Linked DNA regions of Ovis aries. The protein of the gene in region 1 interacts with the protein of each later gene in a pairwise test. Links are inferred from orthologs where the notes say so. Each region holds a gene or a part of one and is shown in the gene's direction. Other genes may lie near its edges. The genes, in order: SPG21, ATPAF2, ARL6IP1, CTPS2, AKIRIN2, PRPS1 and EFHC2.

What was found.
Region 2: the proteins of SPG21 (region 1) and ATPAF2 interact in binary tests that used the Homo sapiens proteins (3 or more experiments, as listed by UniProt). The two-hybrid records come from large-scale screens. The link is inferred for Ovis aries from reciprocal best matches to the Homo sapiens genes SPG21 and ATPAF2.
Region 3: the proteins of SPG21 (region 1) and ARL6IP1 interact in binary tests that used the Homo sapiens proteins (3 or more experiments, as listed by UniProt). The two-hybrid records come from large-scale screens. The link is inferred for Ovis aries from reciprocal best matches to the Homo sapiens genes SPG21 and ARL6IP1.
Region 4: the proteins of SPG21 (region 1) and CTPS2 interact in binary tests that used the Homo sapiens proteins (3 or more experiments, as listed by UniProt). The two-hybrid records come from large-scale screens. The link is inferred for Ovis aries from reciprocal best matches to the Homo sapiens genes SPG21 and CTPS2.
Region 5: the proteins of SPG21 (region 1) and AKIRIN2 interact in binary tests that used the Homo sapiens proteins (3 or more experiments, as listed by UniProt). The two-hybrid records come from large-scale screens. The link is inferred for Ovis aries from reciprocal best matches to the Homo sapiens genes SPG21 and AKIRIN2.
Region 6: the proteins of SPG21 (region 1) and PRPS1 interact in binary tests that used the Homo sapiens proteins (3 or more experiments, as listed by UniProt). The two-hybrid records come from large-scale screens. The link is inferred for Ovis aries from reciprocal best matches to the Homo sapiens genes SPG21 and PRPS1.
Region 7: the proteins of SPG21 (region 1) and EFHC2 interact in binary tests that used the Homo sapiens proteins (3 or more experiments, as listed by UniProt). The two-hybrid records come from large-scale screens. The link is inferred for Ovis aries from reciprocal best matches to the Homo sapiens genes SPG21 and EFHC2.

Annotation. Positions count from the first base shown.
Region 1 is NC_056060.1:11,894,484-11,897,983, reverse strand, and holds part of SPG21 (maspardin), read left to right. Parts: intron 1-149; coding exon 150-311; intron 312-3,500. UniProt on the Homo sapiens protein: May play a role as a negative regulatory factor in CD4-dependent T-cell activation.
Region 2 is NC_056064.1:34,270,459-34,274,746, forward strand, and holds the start of ATPAF2 (ATP synthase mitochondrial F1 complex assembly factor 2), read left to right. Parts: upstream 1-1,488; 5' UTR 1,489-1,660; coding exon 1,661-1,793; intron 1,794-4,288. Other genes in the region: GID4 (glucose-induced degradation protein 4 homolog), read right to left, coding at 880-1,068. UniProt on the Homo sapiens protein: Plays a role in the assembly of the F1 component of the mitochondrial ATP synthase (ATPase).
Region 3 is NC_056077.1:16,929,073-16,933,296, reverse strand, and holds the start of ARL6IP1 (ADP-ribosylation factor-like protein 6-interacting protein 1), read left to right. Parts: upstream 1-1,424; coding exon 1,425-1,460; intron 1,461-3,111; coding exon 3,112-3,245; intron 3,246-3,699; coding exon 3,700-3,819; intron 3,820-4,224. UniProt on the Homo sapiens protein: Positively regulates SLC1A1/EAAC1-mediated glutamate transport by increasing its affinity for glutamate in a PKC activity-dependent manner.
Region 4 is NC_056080.1:14,941,640-14,945,847, reverse strand, and holds the start of CTPS2 (CTP synthase 2), read left to right. Parts: upstream 1-1,408; 5' UTR 1,409-1,551; intron 1,552-1,608; exon of another isoform or gene 1,609-1,699; intron 1,700-2,079; exon of another isoform or gene 2,080-2,419; intron 2,420-4,208. UniProt on the Homo sapiens protein: Catalyzes the ATP-dependent amination of UTP to CTP with either L-glutamine or ammonia as the source of nitrogen. Constitutes the rate-limiting enzyme in the synthesis of cytosine nucleotides.
Region 5 is NC_056061.1:49,618,153-49,622,430, forward strand, and holds the start of AKIRIN2 (akirin-2), read left to right. Parts: upstream 1-1,478; coding exon 1,479-1,713; intron 1,714-4,278. UniProt on the Homo sapiens protein: Molecular adapter that acts as a bridge between a variety of multiprotein complexes, and which is involved in embryonic development, immunity, myogenesis and brain development.
Region 6 is NC_056080.1:127,648,269-127,652,435, reverse strand, and holds the start of PRPS1 (ribose-phosphate pyrophosphokinase 1), read left to right. Parts: upstream 1-1,367; 5' UTR 1,368-1,510; coding exon 1,511-1,632; intron 1,633-4,167. UniProt on the Homo sapiens protein: Catalyzes the synthesis of phosphoribosylpyrophosphate (PRPP) that is essential for nucleotide synthesis.
Region 7 is NC_056080.1:43,387,197-43,390,696, reverse strand, and holds part of EFHC2 (EF-hand domain-containing family member C2), read left to right. Parts: intron 1-58; coding exon 59-255; intron 256-3,500. UniProt on the Homo sapiens protein: Microtubule inner protein (MIP) part of the dynein-decorated doublet microtubules (DMTs) in cilia axoneme, which is required for motile cilia beating.

The DNA of each region.
Region 1 (3,500 bases):
CTGGTCTGGTGTGATCCCCACCTTAGTGTGTAAACCACCAAGACAGTGGTATTAAAATTGTCAGCGAAATTATGGTGTTGAAATAACTATTGATATGTAAAATCAAATCCATGAGATTTTTCATTTTCCTCTTATAACTTTCCCTCCAGATTATTGTGGATGATGATGATAGTAAGATCTGGTCGCTCTACGATGCAGGCCCCAGAAATATCAGGTGTCCTCTCATATTTCTCCCTCCCGTCAGTGGAACTGCGGATGTATTTTTCCGGCAGATTTTGGCTTTGACTGGATGGGGTTACCGGGTTATAGCTGTAAGTATTACTGATTTAGGATAACAATGCAGGGCCACATTTTCTGATTTTGTGTGTGTGTTTCTGTTTCTGAGTATAGTAATGGGCATGTTTCTTATTGTGAAATACTGTTTTTCATTTTTAAAATGTGAAAGGGAGTTTTTTTGAAGGAAGGTGGTGTGGTTTGAAAACAAACGGAGGTGCAGAGGAGACAAACCTTTATCGAAGCTTTCCCTACCCTCAGCTTGGACATGCATTTCCTGAATCAGTCTGACTGGTAGGAAGCATTGTTCTTGTTTATAGATGAGGAGGCTGAGGTCTGGACATTTTAGAGATGGCTGAGGGTCACACAGCCAGTAGGCAGCAGAGGGTGAATCTGACCCCATTTCCTCCCTCCTTTTATTCCATCATTGCTTGGAAGCAGCAAAGGGTACTGAAACCTTGCTAAAGGTGAGTCTTTGACAGGTGAGGTGAGGCCATCATTGCTTGGAAGCAGCAAAGGGTACTGAAACCTTGCTAAAGGTGAGTCTTTGACAGGTGAGGTGAGGTTCATTCATTAGCTCATATTCTTCACGTTTGGTCAACAAGTTTTTTGTTTCTAATTGTTACCACTGAGTTTGGTCTAAATCTAGTTTTGCATTGATCATTCTTTAATCCCCCTCTCTGGGAGGAGGGCGTAGGTGGGAAGGCGCCGTTGCTCACCATAGAGTGTTTGGCACGCCTTGACTAGGTCAGGACTGTGGACTTCGGTTTCCTAACTTCCCCGAAGCAGAGGCCCTGGCTTTGGAGCTGGCGGTTGTTTTCTGGGACCTAGAATATTAACACGTAAATGGTACTCCCCATGGGAGTACTGCTGTTGGTATACATTTTATTTACTGCCTAGAGGAGAGAAAACGTGGACCCAGGCTCTTCTCTCAGAAGGAAACTGCAAATTCCACTGGGGCTACCACCAACTGGGGTCACACAAGACAAATGCAGCACCTCTCCCTCCTGATAGCCCTGCTCTTTCTTGAAAAAACTAGTTACTTTTGGCTGCCTGCTGACTTTCCCCCCCAGGTCTTGTCTTCTCCAGCTAAATCTCTCCAGATTCTTTAACCATTCCTCATATGGTGTGTTGGAAGCCCTGCCACGTAATCCTCCCTTGTTCTGGGTTTTCAGTAATCCCTCTCTGTGGACAGCATTTTAGGAGAGGAGGCTGGTAGCCGCCCTCATCCTCGTCCTTTGCAGCTGAAGTGGTGACATTTTGTGTCTAGGTGATCACTGTTGGTTGGCCAGGGAGAGGGAGACTGAGCAGCCCCCCAGCTGTCTGTCTCACTTTTGAGCGTTCTTCAAAGCAGTCAGCATGTTTTTTCTTCCGAATGCATGTAAGAATTAAAGATTTTAAAATTTAAAAAATAAAAAATAAAAAAAAAAAAAAAAAAAAAATAAACTGACAGGGCACACAGCCTTGCCTTTTGCCTGGATATTTCTTCTTGCCCTCAAGCTTCCTGATGTGGGCATTCCCTATTTCTTAGCTAGATAAAGAATCAAGTAAAAAGACAGCAATGTCTTCAAAATCACTTCATCCTTAATATTTGATCAAAGTGCCAGGAGATTTCTGAAATTTTACTAGACATCTGTTAGTATCTTGCAGTTAAAAATGCATGGATCCTTTTTTCATTTACATTTTTATTGAAATAATTCTAGATTCCCATGCAGTTGTAAGAAGTAATAGAGAGATACCCCTTATATACTTTGCCCAGTTTTTCCCAATAGTAACATTTTATAAAACTGTAGTAGAATATCACAGCCAATATTGATGTTAATATAATCCACCAACCTTGTTCACATTTCCAGTTTTACTCATACTCAATTGTTTGTGTGTATATTAAGTTGTATACAACTAGAACACAAATTTTTTTTAATTTAAAATTTTTATTTTAGAGTACAGTTGATTTACAATGTTGTCTTAGTTTCAGGTGTACAGCAAAGTGATTCAGTTATACATATACATATATCCATTCTTTTTCAGAATCTTTTCCCATATAGGTTATTGCAGAACATTGAGTAGAGTTTCCTGTGCTATAATACATCTATTTTATATGTAGTAACACTACTATATATCTATATATGTTAATCCCAAACTTCTAATTTGTCCTTCCCCCAACCTTTCCCCTTTGGTAATGATGTGTGTTTTTGAAGTCTGTGAGTCTGTTTCTGTTTTGTAAATAACTTCATTTATATCATTTAAAGAAATTCCACATATAAGTAATGTCGTACGATATTTATCTTTCTCTTCGTGACTTACTTCACTTACTATGACAGTCTCTAGGTCCATGATGCTGCAGATGGCATTCTTTCATTCTTTTTTATGGCTCAGTAATATTTTATTGTATACATGTAGCACATCTTCTTTATCCGTTCCTCTGTTAATGGGTATTTAGGTTGCTTCCATGTCTTGGCTATTGTAAATAGTGCTGCATTGAACATTGGGGTGCATGTATCTTTTTGAATTATGATTTTCTCCAGATATATGCCTAGGAGTGAGATTGCTGATTCAAATAGTAGTTCTATTTTTAGTTTTTTAAGGAACCTCCATACGATTCTCTATAATGATTTTACCAATTTACATTCCCATCAATAGTGTAGGATGGTTCCCTTCTCTCCACACCCTCTCCAGCATTTACTGTTTGTAGACTTTTTGATTATTGCCATTCTGACTGATGTGAGGTTATACCTCATGGTAGTTTTGATTTGTATTTCTTTAATAATTAGCAGTGTTGAGAATCTTTCCATGTGCTTTTGGGCCTTCTGTATGTCTTTGGAGAGCTGTCTATTTAGATCTTCTGTCCATTTTTTTATTTTTGTTTTTTTGCTGTTGAGCTGCATGAGCTGTTTTGTATATTTTGGAGATTAATCCCTTGTCAGTTGTTTCGTTTGCAAATATTTTTTTCCATTCTGTGGGTTGTCTTTTCATTATGTTTATTGTTCCTTTGCTCTGCAAAAGCTTTTAAGGTCCCATTTGTTTATTTTTGTTTTCGTTACTGTAGGTGGTGGATCCAAAATGATATTGCTGTAATTTATATCAAAGAGTGTTCTGCCTATGTTTTCCTTGAAGAGTTTTATGCTATCCAGTCTTCATTTAGGTCTTTAATCTATTTTGAGTTTATTTTTGTGTATGGTTAGAGGATATTCTGATTTCATTAGAACATTCTAATGAATGTTCTAATT
Region 2 (4,288 bases), on another chromosome or scaffold:
TCGACATGAGAGGAGTGAAGTGCAGGAAGGAGCTGGGACAGGTAAAGCTAAAGTTCCAAAGCCATTAGGAGCTGGCAGCAGGTTCTCAGAAATCCAGGTCAGATGGGGGGAGGAAATACCATATGAGAAATAAAAGTGGGTGAGTTACATTTCCTAGCATGAGTATCAGAGACTACAAAGGAAGCCCTGACATGTGGATCAAAGTTAAAAATACAGTAAGAGGGTCCCCTAGAGCCAGGAAGGAGGAGAACAGAGAGATGGGGAGGTCTGGGCAGACAGATGGACAGAACAGGAGTGGACTGGAAGTGGAAAGAGGGTGGGGAGTAGGGAGTGTCAAGAGTCTGAGCCAGGAAGAGACTATGGGTTGGGGGCTAGGAGATCAGCTTCTAACAGACTGTGAGGAGCCCACTTAGGATGTGAGTGCCCAGGCTAAGGAATGGGCCAGCAGTCCAGGTGGGATGGGGGCCCTCAGGTCCCGGGGCTGATGGAGAGAGGAGGCGGATGAAGCTCTGCCGGGGAGGAAACCCCCGGAGAAGGAGGCGGGTCCCAGGGCCTGGGGTTCATGGGACCGAGGAAAACGTGGGAGGCAGCAGGCACGTCTAGGGCCTGGGAGCGTCCAGAGTCAGAGGGAATCCCTGGAGAGTTTCCCGGACGGGGTCCGAGAGGGACTGAAAGAAAGACTGTTGCCGGGGCGACAGGCCACGGGGAGGCAGGGCCGGATCTGAGGCGGCCGGTCCCCGGCTCGGGCCCGCAGGGTTGGGGTGCGCCGGAGGGCCCCCGGCAGGCCCGGGCAGCAGGCCCGTCCGTGGCCGCGGGCCCCAGGGGGCGGCGGCGTGGCCCGGTCCGTGGACGTCTCGAGAGGCCGGGCCGCCGGCTCACCTGCAGCACTACCTCCACGTCGTACGAGTTCCCCTTGCTCTTCTGGTGGCCGCGGAACTTGGAGCCGCTGTAGAGCAGGCTGGTGGCCACGCCGGGCTGCTGCGTGTTGATAGGCGGCGGCGGGATGAGCGAGGCGGCGGAGGCGGCCGAGGCACCGGCCGGCGGGGGACACTCGGTGCGGACCGGCATCGCGGGGTCCCCCGGAGCCAGGGCTGGGGGAGGGGGAGGAACCGCCGCCGCCGCGCGGAAGCCGAGGGCAGACGGAGGAGAAGCCGGCGCGCGCGTAGGGCGGGAGGGGTCCACCCGCCGGCCGCAAGCAGATCGAGCGCTCCGGCCACCACCGGGACCCCGGGACCTGCGAGCAGGGCCTCCGGGTCCTGAGCGAACCCCCTCCCCGCCTGCGCTCGCACACACACCCCTTCCGATTGGCTCGGGCGCGCTGAGGGGCGGGATCAGGCTGGCTCGGCGATTCCGCCCATTGGCGGGCGGGGAAAGCACGTGGCGGGAGCCGAGGCCCTCTGGTACTTGTAGTCTTTTTCCCGAGGCGCGGCGCGGGGGCGGGGCCGGGGCGTTTGTGATGCTGATTGGCTGCGGCGTGCGCTGAGGCGCGCGGCGGCGGCGCGCTACGAGTGTCGTGCGCAACATGGCGGCGCCCCAAAAGGGAGAGGGTGCCGGCGACTGGTGAGGAGGTTTGTGGAGTTCGAGCACACGGCGTGTGGTCCCTCCGCTCCTTTTCCCCGAGCTCTGGTTTCGAGCGGTCGTTCTCTGAGGCCCCCGCGCGATGTGGAGGAGCTGCCTTCGGCTGCGGGATGGGGGGCGTCGCCTCCTGAACCGGCCCCGAAGTGGCCTCACCGCCTCCGAGGGGCTGGGGCGAAAGCCCCCTATCCCCTTCCGGGCCTACGTGCCCCCGGCAGGTGAGAGAGGCCAGGGCGGAGCAGGCTGAGGGGTCGGCCATGCAGGGTCACACGGTGGGAGGGAAGTTCCCCGCGAGGGCAGGGATCGCTCCAGGGCACACGCGCGTCGTTTCCTTTTGGCAGGTGCGGTTTTTCTCTCTTTCACTGGGGAAGCAGAGGTCATCCTTATTTTCAGGCGGGGAAATTCGACTTCTGGGTCGGGATTGCGCTAGAGGCGCGAAGCAGACTCAGAGGTTTGCGGGGCAAAGGCCAGTCTGCTAGGCTGCTTTCTGTGTCCCCGCGACCGGCACTGAAGGGGCCTGAAGCTCGGGCTTTAAGTCTTCCATCCCGGCCGCTTGCTCCACAGCTGTCCTGGCCCTGCCTCCTGCTGCCCTCCCAGAACACCTGCCACCTCTTCTAAGGAGTTGACACCCCGTGCCCCCTTCCTGCACTTCCGACTCGGATGAGGCTTTCTGTAGCGGATCTTTCTTACTCCTAGGCAAAGATTTTGGGATAAGAGTGGGACTGACTTTAAGTGAGTGAAGACAGTAACGCTTTCTTTCCTGCCAGTTAGTACTGTGCTGAAGGTGGGGGTGAGGAGAAGGTCACTGCGGTGTTGGAGCTGTTCCGAGGTCGCCCGTGTGGCCTCCAGTCCCCTACCAGCTGTCCCAGCCATCAGCTGCATAGAGAAGAAAGGTCTTCAGAGAGCCTGCCTGTCCAGCTGAGGAGTACACCGGTGAAGTCAAAGCTGGGGGTCTCTGCTTACAAGTTGTCTTGTCTGCACAAGTGGTTTAGCGTCTCATTGTCTGCCTCCTCTAAAGAGACAGCTTGTGCTGGATTGAGGGAGATGCTGTAGATAGGGAGGCCAGCCTGCCACCTGTTTTTGTAAATAGTTTTCCAGGAACCCAGGCCCGCTCATTCACTGACACACACCTAAGGCTGTTTTCACTACAGTGCAGAGTTGGCTGGTTGTGCCAGACACTGGATGGCCTGCAAAGCTTAAAACACTTTGGCTTTTTACAGAAAAAGTTTGCCAGCAGTGCTGTGGATGCTAGAGCGGTTTTGGGGAAAAGTGTTTAGTCATCTGGCCCGTTTATAGTAATTGCTGTGGTAGATACACTTGCCCTGAAGAATTTTAAAACAGCCTTACTGAGATGATGCATTTAGAATTCACTCACTTAGATTGTACAGTTTAATGGTCCCTAATGGCTCAGATGGTAAAGAATCCACCCTTGTTGCGGGAGACCTGGGTTCAATCCCTGGGTTGGGAAGATCCCCTGGAGGAAGGGCATGGCTACCCACTCCAGTATTCTTGCCTGGAGAATCCCTGTGGACAGAGGAGCCTGGCGGGTTACAGTCCATGGGGTTGCAGAGTCGGACATACTGAGCGACTAAGCACAGTATACTCAGAGTTCTGCTGCCATCAGTTCTGGAACCTTCTTATGACACCAAAGGATCCCTGTACCCATTAGCTGCCACTCTGAGTATCCCCCTGCCCCACCCCATCCCTCCAGCCCTAGACAACCACTACTTCACTCTCTATGAAGTCAAGTCGCTCAGCCGTGTCCGACTCTTTGCGACCCTGTGGACGGTCGCCTACCAGGCTCCTCCCTCCATGGGATTCTCCAGGCAAGAGTACTGGAGTGGGTTGCCATTTCCTTCTCCAGGGGGTCTTCCTGACCCAGGGATTGAACCGGGGTCTCCCGCATTGCAGGCAGATGCTTTAACCTGTGAGCCACCAGAGATCTGTATCTATAGATTTCCCTATTTTGGACATTTCATATAAATGGAATGTGGTCTTTTTCTCCATTTAGCGTATATCCAAGGTTCGTCCTGGCTTCCCTGGTGGCTCAGACGGTAAAGCATCTGCCTACAATGCAGGAGACCCTGGTTCGATCTCTGGGTCCGGAAGATCCTCTGGAGAAGGAAATGGCAACCCACTCCAGTACTCTTGCCTGGAAAATCCCATGGACGGAGGAGCCTGGTAGGCTACAGTCTACGGGGTTGCAAAGAGTCGGACACGACTGAGCACCTTCACTTTCACTTTCACAAGGTTTGTCCTAGAGTTAGCGCATGTCAGTACTTCATTCTTTTTCATAACTGGTAATATTCAGTTTTGGGGACACACCATGTCTTATTTACCCAGTCAGTCATTGATGAACATTTGGGTGGTTTTCATCATTTGACTGTTCTGAATGCCTTTGTAAACACTTGAATACAGGTTTTTGTGTGAGAATGTGTTTTCGTTTCTCATAGGAGGTACCTAAAAATAAATAGGACGTCCCCAGTGGCTCAGGGTTAAAGAATACACCTGCAAGGCAGGAGACCCGGCTTTGATTCGTGGGTCAGGAAGAGCCCTTGGAGAAGGGAATGGCAACCCACTCCAGTATTCTTGGCTAGAGAATTCCATGGACAGAAAAGCCTGGTGGACTGCAGTCCATAGGGTCACAAAGAGTTGGACACAACTAAAGCAATTTAGCACACACGCAAGAGCAGACTTGCTGGATCAAACGGTA
Region 3 (4,224 bases), on another chromosome or scaffold:
TTCCCTTACAAAGCCCCCTACCCTGCTCCGTCCCACGGGGTTTATACCTGATCAGATGCTTAATTTTTTTCAAAGTTCAATGGCAAATTTCATAACTTTTAATGATATTCACAATGCTTCTGTCCCCCTAGTTTTCTTAGGGGCAGCATGTGGTCTGTAGCTGTGTTGGCTCACATTTCTTTATGCCTTCCCTGAACTTTTTATGAACCTGGTAGTTATTTAAGGAACGTTTTTAAAATAAACGATGGCATAATATAGATGACTGCAAAAGGATAAAAGACTGGAAGTTGAAAGCTATGGCATGTTTTTCTGAAAGAGATATCTGAAAGGTCAACATTTGGCATTATTTTGTGTTGAGTAATGAAAACGTTAATGCATTTTGAAATCCTGGAGAGAAAATGTGTCTCACATTGATCATCTAGTTCTTAAATTGCAATGAATTCCACTCAAGATGGTTTACATCTTTCCTTATATGAAAGGATCTGTCAAAACCAGCCCCTTTTTGGAGGGGGAACATGCGGTTTCAAGTGAGGTGTTCTATTAAGAACTTTCCCAAAGAACCCACGAAAATGAACCAGTTTTATAAAGTGCATTTTTCACAAGCTCTCAAACTCTGCCCAGATGTCCACACCCCCTCTGCCGCCCCCCGCCCGTCCATCTAAGACCTTATTCCTAATGAGTAGGGGAGGAAAATTACAGAAAACCTAGAATTTATGCCCTTTTCCCTTGTCCACAAAGCTCATGAGATGGGCACGAGTCTCCAAGTCACAAATCTAGGCTAAACTGCTCAGCAGCCTGACGAGGGCTGCCAGAGCAGGGATTAGAAGAAATGTGGGTCCAACTCGGGGAACAGCCAGGCCCAGGGCCACCCGCTGGATCTGGGAGAAGATCCCAGCCCGCCCCCTTAAGGAGGTTACTGTCACATGCCCATCTCTGCCCTCCGCCTGATACTGCGTGGCATATTTCCTTAAGGACTCAATTCCAGAGAGCATGCTTAGCTGCTTTGAAGTCCACTGGAAGATCGTCCGAGAGCCACCTGGCGGCCCGCCTTAGGAATACTGAAGCCAGGCCAGGCCCCCGGGAGCGGCCGTTGAACCGCTTAGGAGAGGCCTGGGCGGGGCGTTGTCACCTACTGGGCGCTGATTGGCCATCCCATGGCCCCGCCCCCGGGGCACTGGCGAGGTTTCTCTCCTTTGACCTCGGTTTCAAGTCATGCGCTGGGCAGCGGTTGGTCCGACCTGTTCAAGCTTGATCTCGATTTGTCCAATGAGGAACGAGCTTCGCAGGGTCTGTCGGGAAAGGCAGCCGGCCTATATAAGAGGGCTGCGGGGCGTATCCTCGCGCTAGGGGTGCGGCGAGGGAGTCTGTGGAGGATTTGTTGTGGTTTCGTCCTGTGCTCGCTGAGACGGCACACCTCGAGAACTATGGCGGAAGGAGATAATCGCAGCACCAATCTGCTGGTGAGTCCCAGCGACTAGTCGCCAGAGGACCGAGTGGAGCCTCCGGACTTTGGTGTGCTCCGTGGGACTGAGCTGCGGCCTTGTTCTTATCACCCGCGGCGGGCCCGGCCCTCCGCTCCCTTCCCTGGTGTAGGCGATGACGCTTGCCCTTTTGGCTTCTTGGTTAACCTCTGCTTGACAGTGACTAGTCGTGGCGTCTCCTAACACCCCCTTGGGGAAGGTGCGCGATGGAGCGAGGAGGGCGCGTGATCATTCACTGCGAATAGAGGAGGAAGCTGGAGAAGGGGGCTGTGACCAGTCTGGGTTGCAGTCAGTGGCAGAGAGCCGCGAGGGGCCTGTCGAGCGCTTTTGGGGCCCAGACTCCAGCCGTATCTGTGTCTCCCCTTCCTTGATCTTAACCAGAATGTCCCTTCGCCCTTTACCCTAATGCTTGGGCAGGAGTGGAGGGTCAAAGGGCTCTTCCCGAGCGTTTCTGTTAGAGCCTGGCACGGCTTAAAACGGCAGGGAGGCTTCGAGCTCACGGCTGGAAAATGGAGGTGGGATCCAGCTGGAAGGACAATGGGAGGTTCCTGGCGTTTGTCTGGAACTTCTAAGACTGGGAGGGGGTGTCACAGGACGATTTTAGAGTAAGCAGGGGTCGAAGGGAACTGCAGTGAGCTTGTATCAAAGGCAGACAATTATAACCTCAGCCCGAATGGGGTGCCATTGCTGTCTCCGAAACTTAGCTTACATGCAACGAAAAAAACCAACCAAACAACAACAAAAAACAAAATCAACTTAAAGGTTTTTTGCCACATTAGCTCATCTGAGAAGTCTGCTTAGCTCATCTGAGAAGTCTGCTTGCAGCTGATTGTCAGATTTGCAGAGAAATTTGACATCTAACCAAAGCATCCTGATAAGTGTAAGGAGCATTTTATTGAGATATATTGGGCTTAATAAGTCTTATAATTCGAAGAAAGCACAGTAGTTTTCCTTACTTGTGCAAGTGATGCCAATATACAGATGATTCTAGTACACCAAGAGCTATTTTGGAAATGAATGCTGTTCAGGGAGAGGCTTTCCTCATGTATTCAGGAGTAGGGGGTTAAATCAATGAAATGACCAAAGAACAGATCGATTGTAACAACCTGAAATGAGCAAACTTCAAGTGATCTTATTTTATACTTGGAGCAGTGCCACTTAGCAGTGCATAGTGAAGTGAAGTCGCTCAGTCGTGTCCGACTGTTTGCGATCCCATGGACGGAGTAGCCTGCACCAAGCTACTGCATCCATGGGATTTTCTAGGCAAGAGTGCTGGAATGGGTTGCCATTTCCTTCTTCAGAGAATCTTCCCGACCCAGGGATCGAACCCAGGTCTCCCGCATTGTAGACAGATGATTAACCGTCTGAGCCACCAGGGAAGCCTACAGTTAGCAGTGCATGGTTTTGGGAAAATAACCATTCTGAACTCACTTTAATTGTAAATGGGTCTGATTATCCCTATCTTAAGGGGTCTTATAAGGATTATGTTACATAACCCCAGTGCTTGGGCTTGGAAAGTGACCGTTACATGATAATTTTCCCCCCATTGGTTTCTGACTTTGGTATCTCTAGGAGTCACAGAAATGTTGAGATTAGTAAAATGATTGCTTTAAACGTTGCTCATATGTAGGCTGCAGAGACTGCAAGTCTGGAAGAGCAGCTGCAAGGATGGGGAGAAGTGATGCTGATGGCAGATAAAATCCTCCGATGGGAAAGAGCCTGGTTTCCACCTGCCATTATGGGTGTGGTTTCTTTGGTGTTTCTGTAAGTGAGCTATTAAATTACAATAGATTTATGCTTGTTACTAATAATGGTTCAGGTTTCATTTATGGAAGTGCCTGAAGTCTTGTAATTTTAAAATCTGTAAAAAAATGCCTTGCCTTAGAGCCGCCTGCCTGGTTTTCAGAATCCATAGTACTATGTAAAGTCAGTAACCGGTGCAGTGAAATAAATCTGTGGTTCAAACTTAGGACTGTTTACACTCCTAGAAGGTGTTGAGGACCCCAAAGGGCTTTTGCCTCTTGATGTTTACGTTAACCGTTATGGCTGGGATGTCATCATGTCACAAAACTTCTGGAAAACCACTTGTGAGAAAATGAGAATAGGAAGGGCAGATAACATCTTTTGAGAACCAGAGGACTAACTGAATAAACGTCTTCAGCTAGCACTGATAAAGACCATATTTTTCTAACCTTTGTTACTTTTTTTTTTTAAACAGGACTATCTACTATCTAGATCCATCTGTTCTATCTGGTGTTTCCTGTTTTGTTATGTTTTTGTGCTTGGCTGACTACCTTGTTCCCATTCTAGCACCTAGAATTTTTGGCTCCAATAAATGGTAGGTGGCATAATGATGTGGCATTCAAATTTCTGAGAAGTTGCGAACCTGATAACTGTGACTAGGGTGCTATAATCACACACAGAGAGCTGCCTTAATTAACAGCTAGGGATTAGACTTACTGTTTGATGTAAAGAACTTTTTAGCTGATTCACATATAAATCGTGAATTTCCAGTACTTATATCTCCATAGTTCTTTTATACTCTAGCATTTATTTTGACTTTTTTCTTTCTAGACCTTTTTATTGAAGTGAGGCTTTTTTTGGTAATGATTTTTCAGTGATTGCAGAACTCATAATGAGCTTTCCATAGTATGTCTGCTTTACATTTTTTACCATTGATATTTAAGGTAATACTAATTTCATAAGTAACTTAGGAATAATTCAAAACAGTAAACATAGTTTT
Region 4 (4,208 bases), on another chromosome or scaffold:
CATCGATGTGAACCTGTTTCACATGCATCCTTTGTGCTGGGTCTTCTGGAAGACTTGTTTTACAACAAAGTCCTCTGTGCTTCCTGCCTTTTTATAAGGTGTTTCCTCCTTAAAAAAAGAAAAAAAATTGAATTTTGCCAACCATCCCTCTACCTTCCTTGTTGCTGTTATCTACTAGCTTCCTCATTGCTCCTCCACGTTCACTGAAGATTTGGTTCCTTGGCCTCGATTGACTCCTCCAATTGTTGACATCCTTCTGGGGGTCCTCAATGTCCCCCACACTGGCCTGGTGAGCCCTAGGCCCAATTCCAGTGACACCCATCTCACTTGACGCCATGTCAGGGTCAGACTCTAAACTGGATCACCTCCTGGAATTTCTTCCCCTTTGACATCGCTGACACCCACAGTCTGGTGACAACTCCTCAGTCCTTTCATCCCCACAGGCCCTCATCTTTTGGTCTATCTCTCTTTTTCTTGGCCGTGCTGTGGTACATGTGGGATTTCAGTTCCCCAAACAGGAATCAACCCCCGCCCCTTGCATTGAAAACGCGGAGTGTTAACCACTGGACCACCGGGGGTCAACATCTCGCTTCTTAGTTCCAGTCTATCTGCTCCCTGCTCCTCTCCCTTCCTTTCTTCTGGGGACTAGGCCCCTGGTGTGTCACCGGGGTAACATTCTTTCAGTGCCCTTAACTTCCTCACTCTCATCCTTCCACTCAACCAGCAAACTCCGGTTTTATCACAATATCAGTATTTATATGTCGACCTAGGTGGAGCTCATTGTACAGTAATGGTTTCCAGACTCCACTGGGTCTTCAGTGATGCTCACCTCACTGGGCCCTCTAGTGACTCACCTGGCTGGCCAGTCAAAATTTTCACCAGTTTCCCAGCCCTTCCATCTCACTCCAAACCCCCTAGTTAGATCCTCTCTCCTTCAGTGGTTTGTGCATGTTCTTCCCTTCGCCTTAACCTCCTGTGTCCTTTCCTGGCACCGAGGCACCAACCATCTTCTTTAAAAAGTCACTCGGCGAAGCCCTGATTGTCGTCCCCCTACCCCCTAGAATTTTTAATTTTTTAATTTTAATGTTTGCTACACGCGTCCTGGCCAGGAACCTTACTGACTCCAATAGGGGTGTAGCCCTCTCCCCATAGCGTGAGCCCCTCACAGGGCCGCACTCCGTCTGAGCGTCGCCCTCCGTTTGGAGCTCCCGCAGCCCCTCTCCGCGACCCAGAAGCCCTTTCCGGCGTCGAGAGCCTGACGCGTGGGCCCGAGCAGGGTCTGGGCGTGCCGAGGGCCGGGGCGCTGGGACGTGGCGTTCACCCGCGGCCCCGAGGTGCCGGTGCTCCGCCAGCCGCGGAGGGGAGGGGCAGTCCCCGGGGCTGAGCCAGGCCTGGGGCCGAGTGCGTCCAGGGCAGAGGGTGACGGGAAGCCGCCGGCGCCAGAGGACTCACTTTGGGGCCGCTTGTTTCGGAGCGTGGCACAAACCCGGGTGCCAACCCCAAGCTCACCGGAGTGAGTCAGCGGGGCCCGCGGCGGCAGGAGAGGGGAAGGTGGGCTAGGAGGGCGCCGCGCACCCCGAGGTCCGCGCGGGAGGCGGGAGGGACCTTGAGGGAGGCTCGGGACACCCCTGGCGGCGGCCTCGTCTTCAGCCGACAGGTGAGCGCGGCCGTCCTCCGCGCCACCGCCGCCGGCTCACAGGTAATCCCCCGCCGGGGCCTCCGCGCCGGGGCCGCCCGCCTGCCCGCGCCCCGGGCCCGGCGCGCACGTGGGGCCGAGCGCCTTTGTCCCCTCCGGGGGCGGCCGCCGCGCGCGTCCCTGCACACCGCGCGCTCTGCCCGCGGGCCCACAGCGGCCGGGCGGGGCTGAGCCCTGGGAGCCCGCCCTGGGGCGGCCAGCGGCCCTGGCGCCGGAGCGCCGTGTCCCCAGGCGGCGCTTCCGCGCGCGTCTGGCCTCGGAATCGGGCGCCGGGGCCCGCCGCGTGCCCAGCCCTGTTTCTCCCGGGCCCGGGAGCCCCGAGATGGCGTTGGAGGAAGTGCAGCCCAGCGCCGAGGGAGTGGGCCTTTTTGTCCCGTCCTCCGCCCCGCGACTCTCTCATTTCCCGGTTCCTAGCTGGTTAGGGCGCGCTGAGCCCGAGTCCGCTGCTGCTACAACATAGCTTTCTTTCTGCAACAGTTTCTCCACATATGGTGTCTAATTTGCATTCAATAAAATGCCCCCATTTTAAGTGTGCAGATAAGGGATTTTGACAAATTATACATCCGCGTAACCACTACCCAAACGTAGACCTAGATCATTTCCATCACTCCAGAAAGTTCCCTCATGCTCTTCTCCGGTCAATCCACAACTGCCCTCACCCCTTGATTTTCATCAGAGCTTAGTGTTGCCGGTTCTAGAATTTCCATAAAGTGGGCTCATTAAGTAAGTATTCTTCTGTTTTTGACTGCTTTCTAAATGGCCGTCATCGAGAAGGTGTCTCTTGTTGCCTCTGATTTTTTTTCAGTTATTCTAGTCCTGCGTTGTCCAGTGTGGTAGCCACTCGCAGCATGTGACTCTTGAGAGCAGGAAATATGGCAAGTGTGTGAACTGAGATGTGCTTTGAGTAGACACACCTAGTTTCGAAAGACAGTAACAACAACAAAAAAAGGATGTAAATTATCTCACCAAAATATTCTTATATTGATTATGTGTTGAATGATAGTATTTTGGATAAATTGGGTTAAATAAGATATTATTTAAATGACGTTAATCTGTTTCTTTTTACTTTTTTAATATGGCGACTGGAAAATTTAAAACTACACAAATGTTATGGTTTTATTGGATAGCGGACAGCTCTACACACCCCTATTTTACAGACAGTTGGTTCTGCTCACTGCCTGTGAGTCAATGTAAATAATGTAATTCACAAGAGTAAAAAAGTCCTGATTCTAGAAACAGCGTGAAGAATCTGCTTTTTCTACTGTTTTAAATTTTGCTTCAGACTTACTTGTTTGCTTAAAAGAGATGGAAAGGACTAGGTGTCTCCTTGATATTAAGTTATATTTTCTATTTTTGAGTTACGTTTTCAAAAAGAACTTTGCAAAATATCTGATGTGCTTAAAAAGTTATCTTGTGCGTTTGAAAATGTGGAAAACTGATACATACTTACCTGCAACCCAACCACCTAAATATATTAAAATGTAGCATTTTAGTGTGACTTGAGCAGTCTTAATTTTAAAAAGCAGTTGAGATAATATAATGTCTTATATAATAGATAATATAATGCTTATAAGCATATTTTACATGAAAGATTCTTAGGCTTTCTGACAACCACATAATGTACCTTCTCATGAATACTCTTCTGTTTTTATGGCATTTTTCCATGTTGCTAACTTTTACAAATGAGAAGTCATTTTAATAGTGTGACAGTGCTGGAATAAGGTAGTTACAGTGCCGATTATTTGCCCCTTCATCCCACAGGAAAGGTGAAAACCAGGAGGGCAGGAACCTTGATTTTATATTCACCCCCATACACACAGGATCTGGGAACACATCAAGCATGTAATTCTCCTTGAGGAAGAAAATTTTCTTCTGTCCTTTTTTTTTTTAATATTTTATTTTATTTTTTTTTGGTTTTTTATTTTTTAAATTTTAAAATCTTTAATTCTTACATGCATTCCCAAACATGAACCCCCTCCCACCTCCCTCCCCACAACATCTCTCTGGGTCATCCCCATGCACCAGCCCCAAGCATGCTGCACCCTGCGTCAGACATAGACTGGCGATTCAATTCTTACATGATAGTATACATGTTAGAATGCCATTCTCCCAAATCATCCCACCCTCTCCCTCTCCCTCTGAGTCCAAAAGTCCGTTTTACACAGCTGTGTCTTTTTTCCTGTCTTGCATACAGGGTCGTCATTGCCATCTTTCTAAATTCCATATATATGTGTTAGTATGCTGTATTGGTGTTTTTCTTTCTGGCTTACTTCACTCTGTATAATTGGCTCCAGTTTCATCCATCTCATCAGAACTGATTCAAATGAATTCCTTTTAACGGCTGAGTAATACTCCATTGTGTATATGTACCACAGCTTTCTTATCCATTCATCTGCTGATGGACATCTAGGTTGTTTCCATGTCCTGGCTATTATAAACAGTGCTGCGATGAACATTGGGGTACATGTGTCTCTTTCCATTCTGGTTTCCTCGGTGTGTATGCCCAGAAGTG
Region 5 (4,278 bases), on another chromosome or scaffold:
GCATTTTAGGTACCTGGTTAGAAGTATGGTGCGTCCCAAATTGGTGGCTCAGCCGGTAAAGCGTGAAAAACTATCCTTTGGCCTTTACATATGGAAGCTATCACCAGTCCAATACAAAACTAGTAGAACTTTCATAAAAAATTTTTTTCTCTGCTTACAAAATGGGTCTAATATCTACTCTCTAGACTTCCATTGTCTTTCGATTTAATTTTTACCGTTCACAAGATATACACCAATATTGAGATAGTACAACTTCTGCTATTAGCTTTTTATTCAAAGCAGAACAATTTAGTTCTGTACGTCGTTCAAATCCTAGTCATTTACAGGGTACAGCTGGCTTTGCCGAATAAGTGGCTAAAAGCAGCTATCTGGAAAGGGCAACACATAAAGTTCAATTCAAGGTTCCTATAACCTGATAGTACCACTGTTCTCTCCTGCAATTCTAAATAGGTCCCCAAAATCTTAGTATTTCCTAGCCAGTCGATGTGACAGGTTTTGTTTCTGGCACTGTTTTAATCAGTCTTGAACTGTTAGGTTAGCTTCGTTTTCAAGTTCCCGGTTGGTAAATCACTGTGGGAGCGTACCACGACAACTACTACCTGAATATTAAAGGTTTTTCAAAACCTGCTTTCCCCACCGGTCGGCTTTCTTTTCTCCCACTCTCTAACGGGTTTTTCTCTTTTCTCTTACCCTCAGTTCCTTTTACACTCAAGATGTGTAGGGGGATTTAAATTCCAATCCGGAACTCGGAATCGCTGGCCTTGAATGACGGGACTCGTAGTTTTCATGACTTCTCCTTAACCGCTTTTCACGCAGAGTCCTTCCTCCAGTGATAAACTACAACTCCCAGAATGTATGCTCGGGCTCCCGCCCCCCGCTATGCGCACGCGCCCTGAGGCCGCAGGATTTGAATCGGCGGCGTTGTTATTGACGCCATATTGGGGCCGGCGGCGGGTGGAAGTCAGACAGTGGAGGGGGAAGCGGCTGGATGTGTTTGCTGGAGCTCCTGCCGCTGCCGCAGCCTCTCAATCTCGCCGCATCGACCACCGCTCTCTAACTTCGGCCGCTGTTCGAGCGTCTTAGGAGCCGCGTTCTAGCCTCACATCTCACGGGGCTGGTATTGACTTCTGAAGGAGCCGGTCTCCGCGCAGGAGCGCCTCAGGCGCGGCGCAAAGCCCGAACGGACGGCGGGGGCGGCCGGAGCGTCTCCCGGGGGAGCCGTGCCTGAGGAGGCGGAAGAGCCCCCCTGACGCGGCCAGCGTGAGCCGCCGCCACCGCCCCTCCTGCTCTCGCCCCAGCCGGCCCGGGCCACTGCCCCTGCCGCGGAGGCGGCGGCAGCGGCTCTGCTCCCCTCGCCGGCGCTCCGCCACCCGGCTTTCCACTCTTGAGCCCGTCGGTTAGGCTCTCTTCGGGGCTCCGCTTTTACCCGCTTCCTTCGCCCTCCCTTCCTGACTCCACCCGAGCCCGGCGCCCCGGCCATGGCGTGCGGAGCCACTCTGAAACGGACTCTGGATTTCGACCCGCTGCTGAGCCCGGCGTCCCCGAAGCGGAGGCGATGTGCGCCATTGTCGGCGCCCACCTCTGCCGCCGCCACCCCGTCGTCGGCCGCCGCGGCCACCGCCGCTTCCTTCTCGGCCGCCGCCGCCTCGCCGCAGAAGTATCTCCGAATGGAGCCATCTCCCTTCGGCGACGTCTCCTCCCGTCTCACCACAGGTGGGACTCGGTCTTGCGGCCGCCCGGGGGTGGAGGGCGAGGGATGAGGCCGCGGGACTAGGGGTGCAGGACGGCTCTCCGGTCTTAGCAGAGTCCTCGGCGGCCACATTTTTCTTAAGGAGCTCTTTCAGTGTCGGAGACACAATAGGAATAGCCTGATATCGGGGGAGGGGTCGGGGGTGGGGTGGGTAGGGATGGTGCCTTGCCGGGTATTGTAGGGTAGAGGAAGGTCTTTTTCTTTGGGCCGAATGACTGGAATCGAGCGTTTCCGTAGTCTGGAGAGCCCCAGCGGAAATGATCAGAGAGAGTGCTACACGGAAATCGAGGCAAACGAAGGGTCACACATTTCACCCGAATCTCGATGGCTGTCTCCCAGAATCGATGGGTTGCACCTATTAACTCTGGAACTGGGTGGTTTGAGGCTAGGCGGCCGCCCCTCTTCCAGTTCAGACAGGGCTGATTTTAGTACGGAGGGCGTGGGGTGGGGGAGGGATGTCACTGGGGCGAGATCTAGGCCTGTCATTAATCACCCACAAGAACGCCACTTTGGCTGAGTCAAGACCTGTTTCCCTAGCAGGGTCAACAACAAAGAAAATGCTCTTCCCGAATACTGTAATACGATCACACTATATATGTCTAGACCTTGAGAAACTTGAACTTTTAATGAAAAGCAAGTTGTATTGAACTTCGGGGCTGAGTAGTTGCTTTAGTTAAAAGTGCTTTATTTTTGCCCATGAAAGTACTTTGGAAGGAAAGGGCTAGGCCTTGAAAATAATAAATCAACCCAAGATTCCAAGGGACTTCAGAATATTTTTGCTGTTCATCTTGAAACATTTCCTGAAAGTGACTGGGCAGCTACCTCTTGACTGCTTTGTACTGCGTTTGTGTCCGTTTTTTCCTATACTTTGAAAATCCTTGTGTGCCCCTGGCATAGTCTTAAGATAGGCTTATGTGGACTAGTAGTGTAAATGCTTCCCTTGTGTGTGTAGCATGCAAAGGTTTCATGTGTGACCGTTTGGTGATAATAAGATCTGTAGACAAAGCCTTTTCGTAGCTTGATTTACTTTTTTATCGTCAGCTTTAAAAAGAAAATCTGTGGGCAGTATTTAACTCTACTGGTAACTTGATTTGGAATTGACATAAGTTTTGTAATTTTTCAGGTCATACTTTTAAAATATCTTTTTCCAAATACATAGGGAGATTCTCAGATGCCTAGGCTACCATCTTTTGCTGTTGGAACAGTGTCAAGAATGAGTTCCTGGGATTAATACTATTTTCAGAGTTTGTCTTTTTAGTGAAAGACTATCACTGAAAATTGAAATGATACTGTGGAATCTGTACTTAATAAGGCCACTTAAAAATAGCTCTAGCTAACCAGCAATAAATTTCATTTGAGGGGGGTGAATTAATACAGTGTTAGGTTTGGGAGTTAAAGTATATTGAAGTGCTAAAATAGTCTTGAGCATATAAAGTAAGTCAGCTAGGGGCTATATTTGTCCTCACTTCAAAGGGAATTAATTCAGAAAGAATTGTGATTCTTTGCAGATCTGTCATTTCGTTGATGTATTTAAAGCATTCACTAATGCAGGTGACTCCACATTTTATATTTCGGTTAAGTGGACCATTACTATTATAATAGTAAAATGACTGGAATTATTGAAATTGTTTAAGCCGGCTGATTCAAATTCACATTTTTCCAACATATTGGTATGTTTTCTGTTTTTCAAGGTGTTTTTGGCATCTGCTGTAACTTTGATCATATCCTGAATTCTAAAGTCACACACTAACTGATATTTATTGAGTCTCTGAAAAGTTTTTTTTCCCTAGCTATTTCAATTAGAGAACAGCAGTTAAAATTGATTAACTTTTGAGTTGCTAAAATTTACCTTTTTAACTGTGGTCTTGGAATGACATTTTACATGTAATTTAGCCTTATGTTAACACGGCCAGTTTTGGGCTTGCTCTTGTATGGTTTTGGTAATGGTGTCATAATGGGAGCTGCAGTGTTGTGCAGGTATCAAACAGCTTCCCAGTTTTCATGTCCTCTAACTTGGAAATAATTTTCCAAGTACCTAACTTTTAAATTCCTGTTTTAAAAGTGGTGATTCTTTAAACTTGTCTAGAATGAATACCATATATCTTTAGCAGAAATAAGTAGCTAGGGTTGGAAATGGAAAGCAACTTACCAAAATGAAATTGACTGGGGCTCTATGGAAGTTCTTTATGGAGTTTTCATTTCTGTGGGTTCAAATATAATTTAAACAATTTACAACTAGACTACTGAAGTGCAGTTTTTTTCAGAGCATGTGTATAATTTATTATGAATTTACTTTTGTTCTCTGGATATATTTATATATGTGTTTTCTGATATGTTGCTGAAGTCATGTTGTCACTTCAGGAACTGGGTATCTTTTAAACTCTAGCTTTGTTTCTTTTGGTTGTTAGTCATCTCAGGAAGGTTTGACTTGATAACTGTTATTTAAATCAATATTTTTCAAACTATTGTGACTTAATAGGACAAAGAAAAGAACTGGCAATTAAAGTTTTATTGGAACACAGCCATGT
Region 6 (4,167 bases), on another chromosome or scaffold:
GCAATGAAGCACTCAGTAAATATTTGATGAATGAATTGCGATGGAACACTACTAATATTCTGCCTGTAGTCTACTTCCTTCAAGTATTCCTAGACACCTGGGCTTATACTGAATTTCTGAACTCATAAAATCATAACAAAAGGTCAGAAGGAGCGGTCTCTGTGGGCACTGCTGAAAATGGCAGGAAGAGAAAGCTAGGGTGCTGCTTGAAATATTTTTTGCCTTTGCCACTTGGACAAATTTCTTTCCATCTCTGGTCTCCGTTTCAACCATATGTAAAATGAAGCTAGTAGACTAGATGATTTCTGAAGTCCCTTCTATTTTTACAGCTTGTAGTTATGAGCATTATGGCACTTCTAACTAAAATTGTATGATTCTAAAATTACATGATTTTTGTGTTCTAACTCATGGTTGGGATATGCTTAATGAAAATGTGGTGTGAGAATAAAGGCTCTTTTTGGTCTAATTAGCTGGTATCATCATAAAAGTAATAAAATAGTGGTGTAAAAGAACACATTAGCAACAGATAGAATATGATGCTGAGGATAACATCAGGCAGATAGGACCAAAGACTAGGTTTTCTGACTCCTTTGGGGCTATTTATCTGAAGTCCTATAAGTATACTGTACTTTCTTTCCTTTCCAAGGGTCAGATAAATCAGACCCTTTATCACCCAGATATTGTGGAAAATCCATACTCCAGCACCTGTTTGAACGTACTTGGTCCTAGTGTTAAAAACAAAATGTGACTTCTCTTGCAGTGTCTCTGGATGACTCAGGTAGCTTGCCCTCAGTCACTTTCCCCTTGGGACTTGTCTGTCAGGCAAAGGGGATAGTGAAATTACCGGTTTGCCCTTTGTATGAGCCTGTGCTATGGCGTCTGTCTGTGATGCAATCATGCTTTAAGTTCAGCCCCATCCTTACAAAAAGATAAAAATCATGTTCAGAAACATGCAAACTCATGTTTGTATGAACTGTGGCTGCCATCCTGAGAAATAGATATTTTTAAAAGAAACTGTAAAAAAGAAAAGAGAAAGGAACTGTAAACCAGAGCCAGGCTTACTTTCAGGTGCTGAAGGAAAAAAAAAAAAAAAGGTGGCTGATTTCCCGCTTGCGGGAAAGATCTGGCCCTACGCGTCACCAGCATCCCTCCACCCCCATTGGAACCCGGGCTTCTAGGCGTTCTGCCCTCCCCAACTGCCTCGCTACAGTGGGCGGGGCGATTCGTTAGCCTCGCCCCTTTCAGGGCCTCCAGTCAATCCTCGAGACAGTCGGGGATAGGCGGAACTACGGCGAGGACCCACTAGCGCTCAGCCAATCGGAGAGAGGGCTTCCCGGCTGACTACACCTACCCTGCGCCGGCGATTTAGAGCCGCGCACCGGGCGGGAATGTAAGATGGCGGAGTAGAAACGCGAGTGCTTAGTACTGAGTCTCTGGGCCCACTCGGTTCGGGTCTCGGCGGCGGCAGCAGTGATCGTTAAGCAAAGAGAGCCTAGGGTAGTTGGCCAAGATGCCGAACATCAAAATCTTCAGCGGCAGCTCCCACCAGGATCTATCCCAGAAGATTGCCGACCGCCTGGGCCTGGAACTGGGCAAGGTGGTGACTAAGAAATTCAGCAACCAGGAGACCTGGTGAGGATGAAGTTGGGACGCCGACCGGCCTCACCTGCCGGAGAGGCCAGGGCAGCCGAGGGTAGGGGGATGAGGTCACAGCGTGAGTTCCAAAGGGCCGGGTTTGGGGGGAAGGGGCAGCTCTGTGACGAGCGTGCCTCACGGGCTGTTTCCGTTATTTTACCTCTCGCGGGAGGGTCACGTTCATTCTCACTGTGTGGTGGGTGGAGTCAAGATGGAGCAGGAGGGGAAGCTACTGGGTTTGAAGCCAAGGGCGGGGATGGTGGCTTCCTAGAGTGGCTAGAGGGGAAGAACGCCTGGGCTTCGCGGTGGGGACACGTGGCTTTGCCGCTTAGCTGTTGAGCCATCCAGACTGGGTTCTCTTCCGCTGTTAGACCGGCTCGCCTGGGAGATCCTACTGCGTACTGAGCCCTCGTGGTGTTCCTCCTAGTGTCTGAGAAGCAGCTTTTCAATTTGAAACCGTGTTGGTCCGATTTCCTGTTGAGGGAACTTGACATTATGTGCAGAGGGCGCCAAAATTAATACCGAGGACTTCTTAGATTGGCGAGTGTTGAATTTTCACATCTTTAAACTCGAAGTTAAATCTAGTCGCTTGAATAAAATGATGCGTTAACTGCATCCCGATTGCCAGCATCTTGGTTTGAGCCATCTAAAAAATAATAGGGAACCTTAATTCTGGAATCCTTGATCTTCCCAAGCGTAGCTGTTTGTAAAACAGTGCAAAAGCATATTTTTCAGAACCAAAGTCTGTCCTGAACTTGCATTTCTAATGTTGTGTGGGGGATTTAAGAAACATTTTAATCCCTGAATGTTAAGATAATAGAAGAAAGATAATGGAGTGGAAGGCTGGAAATGCATAGTTCATTGCAGTGAATTTTTTGTCATTGCTTTGCTGATTAAATTTGCTCCCTCCCCCCCACTTCCATGCTCCTGAACCTTGGGGCCATCTTAGAGATAACTTGGTCACCAAATCCTTTCAGTACCACTTCCATCTAAATCTAGAATCTTCTGGTTCTGCTAAGTGTTTTTCTGTATTTTGTTGTTATCCTGTTGATCAAATCAGAGCAGTACCCACAGTCAGTCCTCTATTAAAGGGAAAATTTACACCAAACCTAATGAGTCAGTTAAATTAGTGAAGATTGCCTTGAACATTTTTTCCTAAGTGCTTTTGTTTTCCTTTTCTCTTCCCAAAGTGTAACTTCCCCTGTCCTTTGTAGACCCTGCTGGTAAAAGCATTCATCTGTAGTGGACAGCTTCCTTCTGGATGCTTGATCATTGTGTCATTGGTTGTGATGCAGATGATGGTGCAAGCCCTGATGCGGTCTGTAACCAGACAAAACCTTAGTCAGAAGGCTAGCCAAGCTGCTGTCTTTAGCTTAACCACACCATTATGACTCACGGGCTGTAATAAAATAGGACCAGACTTTGCAAGTGGCAGTATAGCTAGGGGACCAGAATGATTTTCATTTGGAGGTGGTTTTTTTTTGTTGTTGTTGTTGTTCCCTAGAGAACTGTGACTATTAAATCTTTTTTGTATGCTTCCAGGAAAAATACAAAGACTTTATTTTCCCTGTGCACCCTCTGCCTAGTGCACCACATCAGAACCTGAGGCTAAATTGGGAGAGGAGAGGAGAACATTTTAGTGGTCTACTGATTGATTTCTCTAAAATTATCTGGAGCCCCAATCTACTTCGCTGAGCTAAAAGGCTGATTTCATTTTTAAATAACCAGACAGTAACATGCTTGGAAGCACTGAATAAGATTAAGCCCAATGGAAAATTGCTGACTGGTTCGGTTGCTTTGTTTCTGGCTTAATTAGCTTTTTGGCTCCTTAGATGTTCTGAAATCTTCATTGAACATAATCGAATATGTTGCCTATGGAGCTTCCCCTTCATCTCCCTCCCCCAACCTTTGGCTTTTCTGCACTGCAGAAGTGGTCATTGCTGCCCTGACTCTGGGATCTAAAGGTCATGGACAGGATAGCACCTACCCACAGTGGGTGCTGGGGGTCATTAGATGGGGAACTGCAGAGCCCATCCTCAGATGAGACTGTTTTGCTGCAATTTGGCACAATCTCAGGGGTTGATGCTCTCTGGAGTAGTTTTCTCCTGAAGTCAGGATCATCCTTTGCTGTCCAGTTTTTTAAAATTCGTTAATTTTTGGTTGCACTGGGTCTTCCTTGCTGTGAGTGGGCTTTTTCTATTTGCAGCGAGTAGTAGTTGGCAGGGGAGTGGGGGGCGGGGCGCACTGCTCTTCATTGCTGTGAACAGACTTCTCATTACGGTGGCTTGTCTTGTTGTCAGAGAAGGGCTTCAGTAGTTGGGACACGTGGGCTCAGTAGTTGCAGCTCCCGGGCTCTAGAACATGGGCTCAGTAGTTGTGGCACATGGCCTTAGTTGCCTCGTGGTGTGTGGAATCTTCCCAGGAGGGATCAAACCCATGTCTCCTGCATTGGCAGGCAGATTCTTAACCACTGTGCCACCAGGGGGTTCCTGCTGTCCAGTTTTTAAGGAGAAACATACATACATATATGTG
Region 7 (3,500 bases), on another chromosome or scaffold:
TGTCTGGTTCTTTGAGAAACAAAACCTACTCATTAACTTCTTTTCTCCTTTTCTACAGGGTATACTGGAGGGATGTTCTTAAAAAGAGTTCGTGTTAAGAAGCCTGGACAAGAAGTCTTTAAAAGTGAATTCTCAGAATATATCAAGGCTGAGGAGCTGTATGTTGGAGCCAAAGTGGACGTGAATGGCTACCTCTTTCTTTTGGTCAATGCTGATGAGTATACCTTGAACTACATGGAGAGGCATTCAGATAAGGTGAACTCACTTGGTATAATTCTTGCCTTCGCCTCTCAGCACTCTGCAGTCTGTGTTTTCCTTACTCCAGGCCTTTTCTTCTTTGCCTTGCAACCAATTTTACATTGTGTATTCACACATGTGGGCATGAATAATGGATCTGCATGATTTGGCCGCAGGTCCCATCACAGAGGCCAGGGCCTGGTCTCCTCTGTTTATGTGCTGGGTTTGCTGCTGCCCAGCATCACGGATGCCAGGCACAGGCAGGAGGCAGGCCCAGGGTTGAATCAAGTTTCCTGGGTTTTCTGCTGATGCTGAAAATGTTTTCAGAAAGAAATTGAGCAGTGGTCTGAAAGGAAGAAAACCTGGTGCCACACACTGTGCTGTCTCAGTTAATTGGCACAGGCCTGCAAAGAAGGCCAAGACCTGAACAAACAGAAACCCCAAGGGAACCCGATAGTTGCTGGGGTTGCAACTTCCCATAACAGGGGCCACCTGAGGCCTAAATGAGACTCCAAGGACAAATTGGCAACAGTGAGCTCCACAAGTTTTTCCATTTGAAATGAGATGGCACATGGGTGCTATTACTGAAAGTACTATTATGACAATGCTGTTCACTGAAAATATGTTCACAAAACCTTGACTTTAAGTGTGGATGAGTTCCATGTCTCTGCTTTTCAGTATGCTATCTAGGTTGGTCATAACTTTCCTTCCAAGGAGAAAGTGTCTTTTAATTTCATGGCTGCAATCACCATCTGCAGTGATTTTGGAGCCCCCAAAAATAAAGTCTGACACTATTTCCACTGTTTCCCCATCTATTTCCCATGAAGTGATGGGACCAGATGCCATGATTTTCATTTTCTGAATGTTGAGCTTTAAGCCAACTTTTTCACTCTCCTCTTTCACTTGCATCAAGAGGCTTTTTAGTTCCTCTTCACTTTCTGTCATAAGGGTGATGTCATCTGCATATCTGAGGTTATAGATATTTCTCCCAGCAATCTTGATTCCAGCTTGTGCTTCTTCCAGTCCAGCATTTCTCATGATGTACTCTGCATAGAAGTTAAATAAGCAGGGTGACAATATACAGCCTTGACGTACTCCTTTTCCTATTTGGAACCAGTCTGTTGTTCTAATTGTTGCTTCCTGACCTGCATATAGGTTTCTCAAGAGGCAGGTCAGGTGGTCTGGTATTCCCATCTCTCTCAGAATTTTTCACAGTTTATTGTGATCCACACAGGCAAAGGCTTTGGCATAGTCAATAAAGCAGAAATAGATATTTTCTGGAATTCTCTTGCTTTTCCGATGATCCAGTAAATGTTGGCAATTTGATCTCTGGTTCCTCTGCCTTTTCTAAAACCAGCTTGAACATCTGGAAGTTCACGGTTCACGTATTGCTGAAGCCTGGCTTGGAGAATTTTGAGCATTACTTTACTAGCGTGTGAGATGAGTACAATTGTGCAGTAGTTTGAGCATTCTTTGGCATTGCCTTTCTTTGGGATTGGCAAACTGACCTTTTCCAGTCCTGTGGCCACTGCTGAGTTTTCTAAATTTGCTGGCATATTGAGTGCAGCACTTTCACAGCATCATCTTTCAGGATTTGAAATAGCTCCACTGAAATTCCATCACCTCCACTAGCTTTGCTCATAGTGATGCTTTCTAAGGCCCACTTGACTTCACATTCCAGGATGTCTGGCTCTAGGTCAGTGATCATACCATCATGATTATCTGGGTCATGAAGGTCTTTTTTGTACAGTTCTTCTGTGTATTCCTGCCACCTCTTCTTAATATCTTCTGCTTCTGTTAGGTCCCTACCATTTCTGTCCTTTTTTGAGCCCATCTTTGCATGAAATGTTCCCTTGGTGTCTGTAGAGATCTCTAGTCTTTTCCATTCTGTTGTTTTCCTCTGTTTCTTTGCATTGATCACTGAGGAAGGCTTTCTTATCTCTCCTTGCTATTCTTTGGAACTCTGCATTCAGATGCTTATATCTTTCCTTTTCTCCTTTGCTTTTCACTTCTCTTCTTTTCACAGGTATTTGTAAGGCCTCTCCAGACAGCCATTTTGCTTTTTTGCATTTCTTTTCCATGGGGATGGTCTTGATTCCTGTCTGCTGTACAATGTCACAAACCTCAGATAGCATACTGAAAAGATGAGACATTACTTTGCCAACAAAGGTCTGTCTAGTCAAGGCTATGGTTTTTTCAGTGGTCATGTATGGATGTGAGAGTTGGACTGTGAAGAAAGCTGAGCACCGAAGAATTGATGCTTTTGAACTGTGGTGTTGGAGAAGACTCTTGAGAGTCCCTTGGACTGCAAGGAGATCCAACCAGTCCATTCTAGAGGAGATCAGCCCTGGCTGTTCTTTGGAAGGAATGATGCTAAAGCTGAAAGTCCAGTACTTTGGCCACCTCGTGTGAAGAGTTGACTCATTGGAAAAGACTCTGATGCTGGGAGGGATTGAGGGCAGGAGGAAAAGGGGACGACCGAGGATGAGATAGCTGGATGGCATCACCGAATCGATGGACATGAGTTTAAGTGAACTCCGGGAGATAGTGATGGACAGGGAGGCCTTGTGTGCTGTGATTCATGGGGTCCCAAAGAGTTGGACATGACTGAGCAACTGAACTGAACTGAATTCCATGTGCCAGCATGTGTATTTCAGAACCATGGCCTACTATTGAAGAATCTATCTATAAACTATTTTCAATGTCTGCCTGTAAATAATAATACTTCTGTGCCAATTATATAGATTCAGTGCCAATTCCATTTCATTTCATGTCAAGTACTCATGGAGATGTTGCTAATATCAGTCTCTGTGTACAACATATTACCTGGATCAGTTTTGGTCCTCTGAGAAGCAGATCCTAAGGCAGAATGATATGTGCAAGAGATGTATTGAGGGAAATCTGTATGAAGGATAAAGGAGGGAGCAGGAATAGTGGGGAGACTGAGATGTAGGTCTGACTCCTGAGAATAGAGAGGGAAGGAGGGAGGATGGGGATGAGAAGAACCTCAGACACATTGGAGCCAGTCTCACAGGGAGCCCCAGAGCACACACTACGGACCAGAGAAATCCCATGTCAGGCAGTAATGGCCCAGCTCTGGTGCCTCCATCCTGCTCCATCACTGGATGGGAAGAATCTGGGGAGACTGTGGCCTCTGGGTGAATCTCTGAAAGCTGCAGCACTCCAGTGACCTGAAGGTGCAGCAGCAGGGGACTGTTTGCTAACAGGACTCCTCTCTGCGTGGTCTCTCTTGAGGGCAGGCC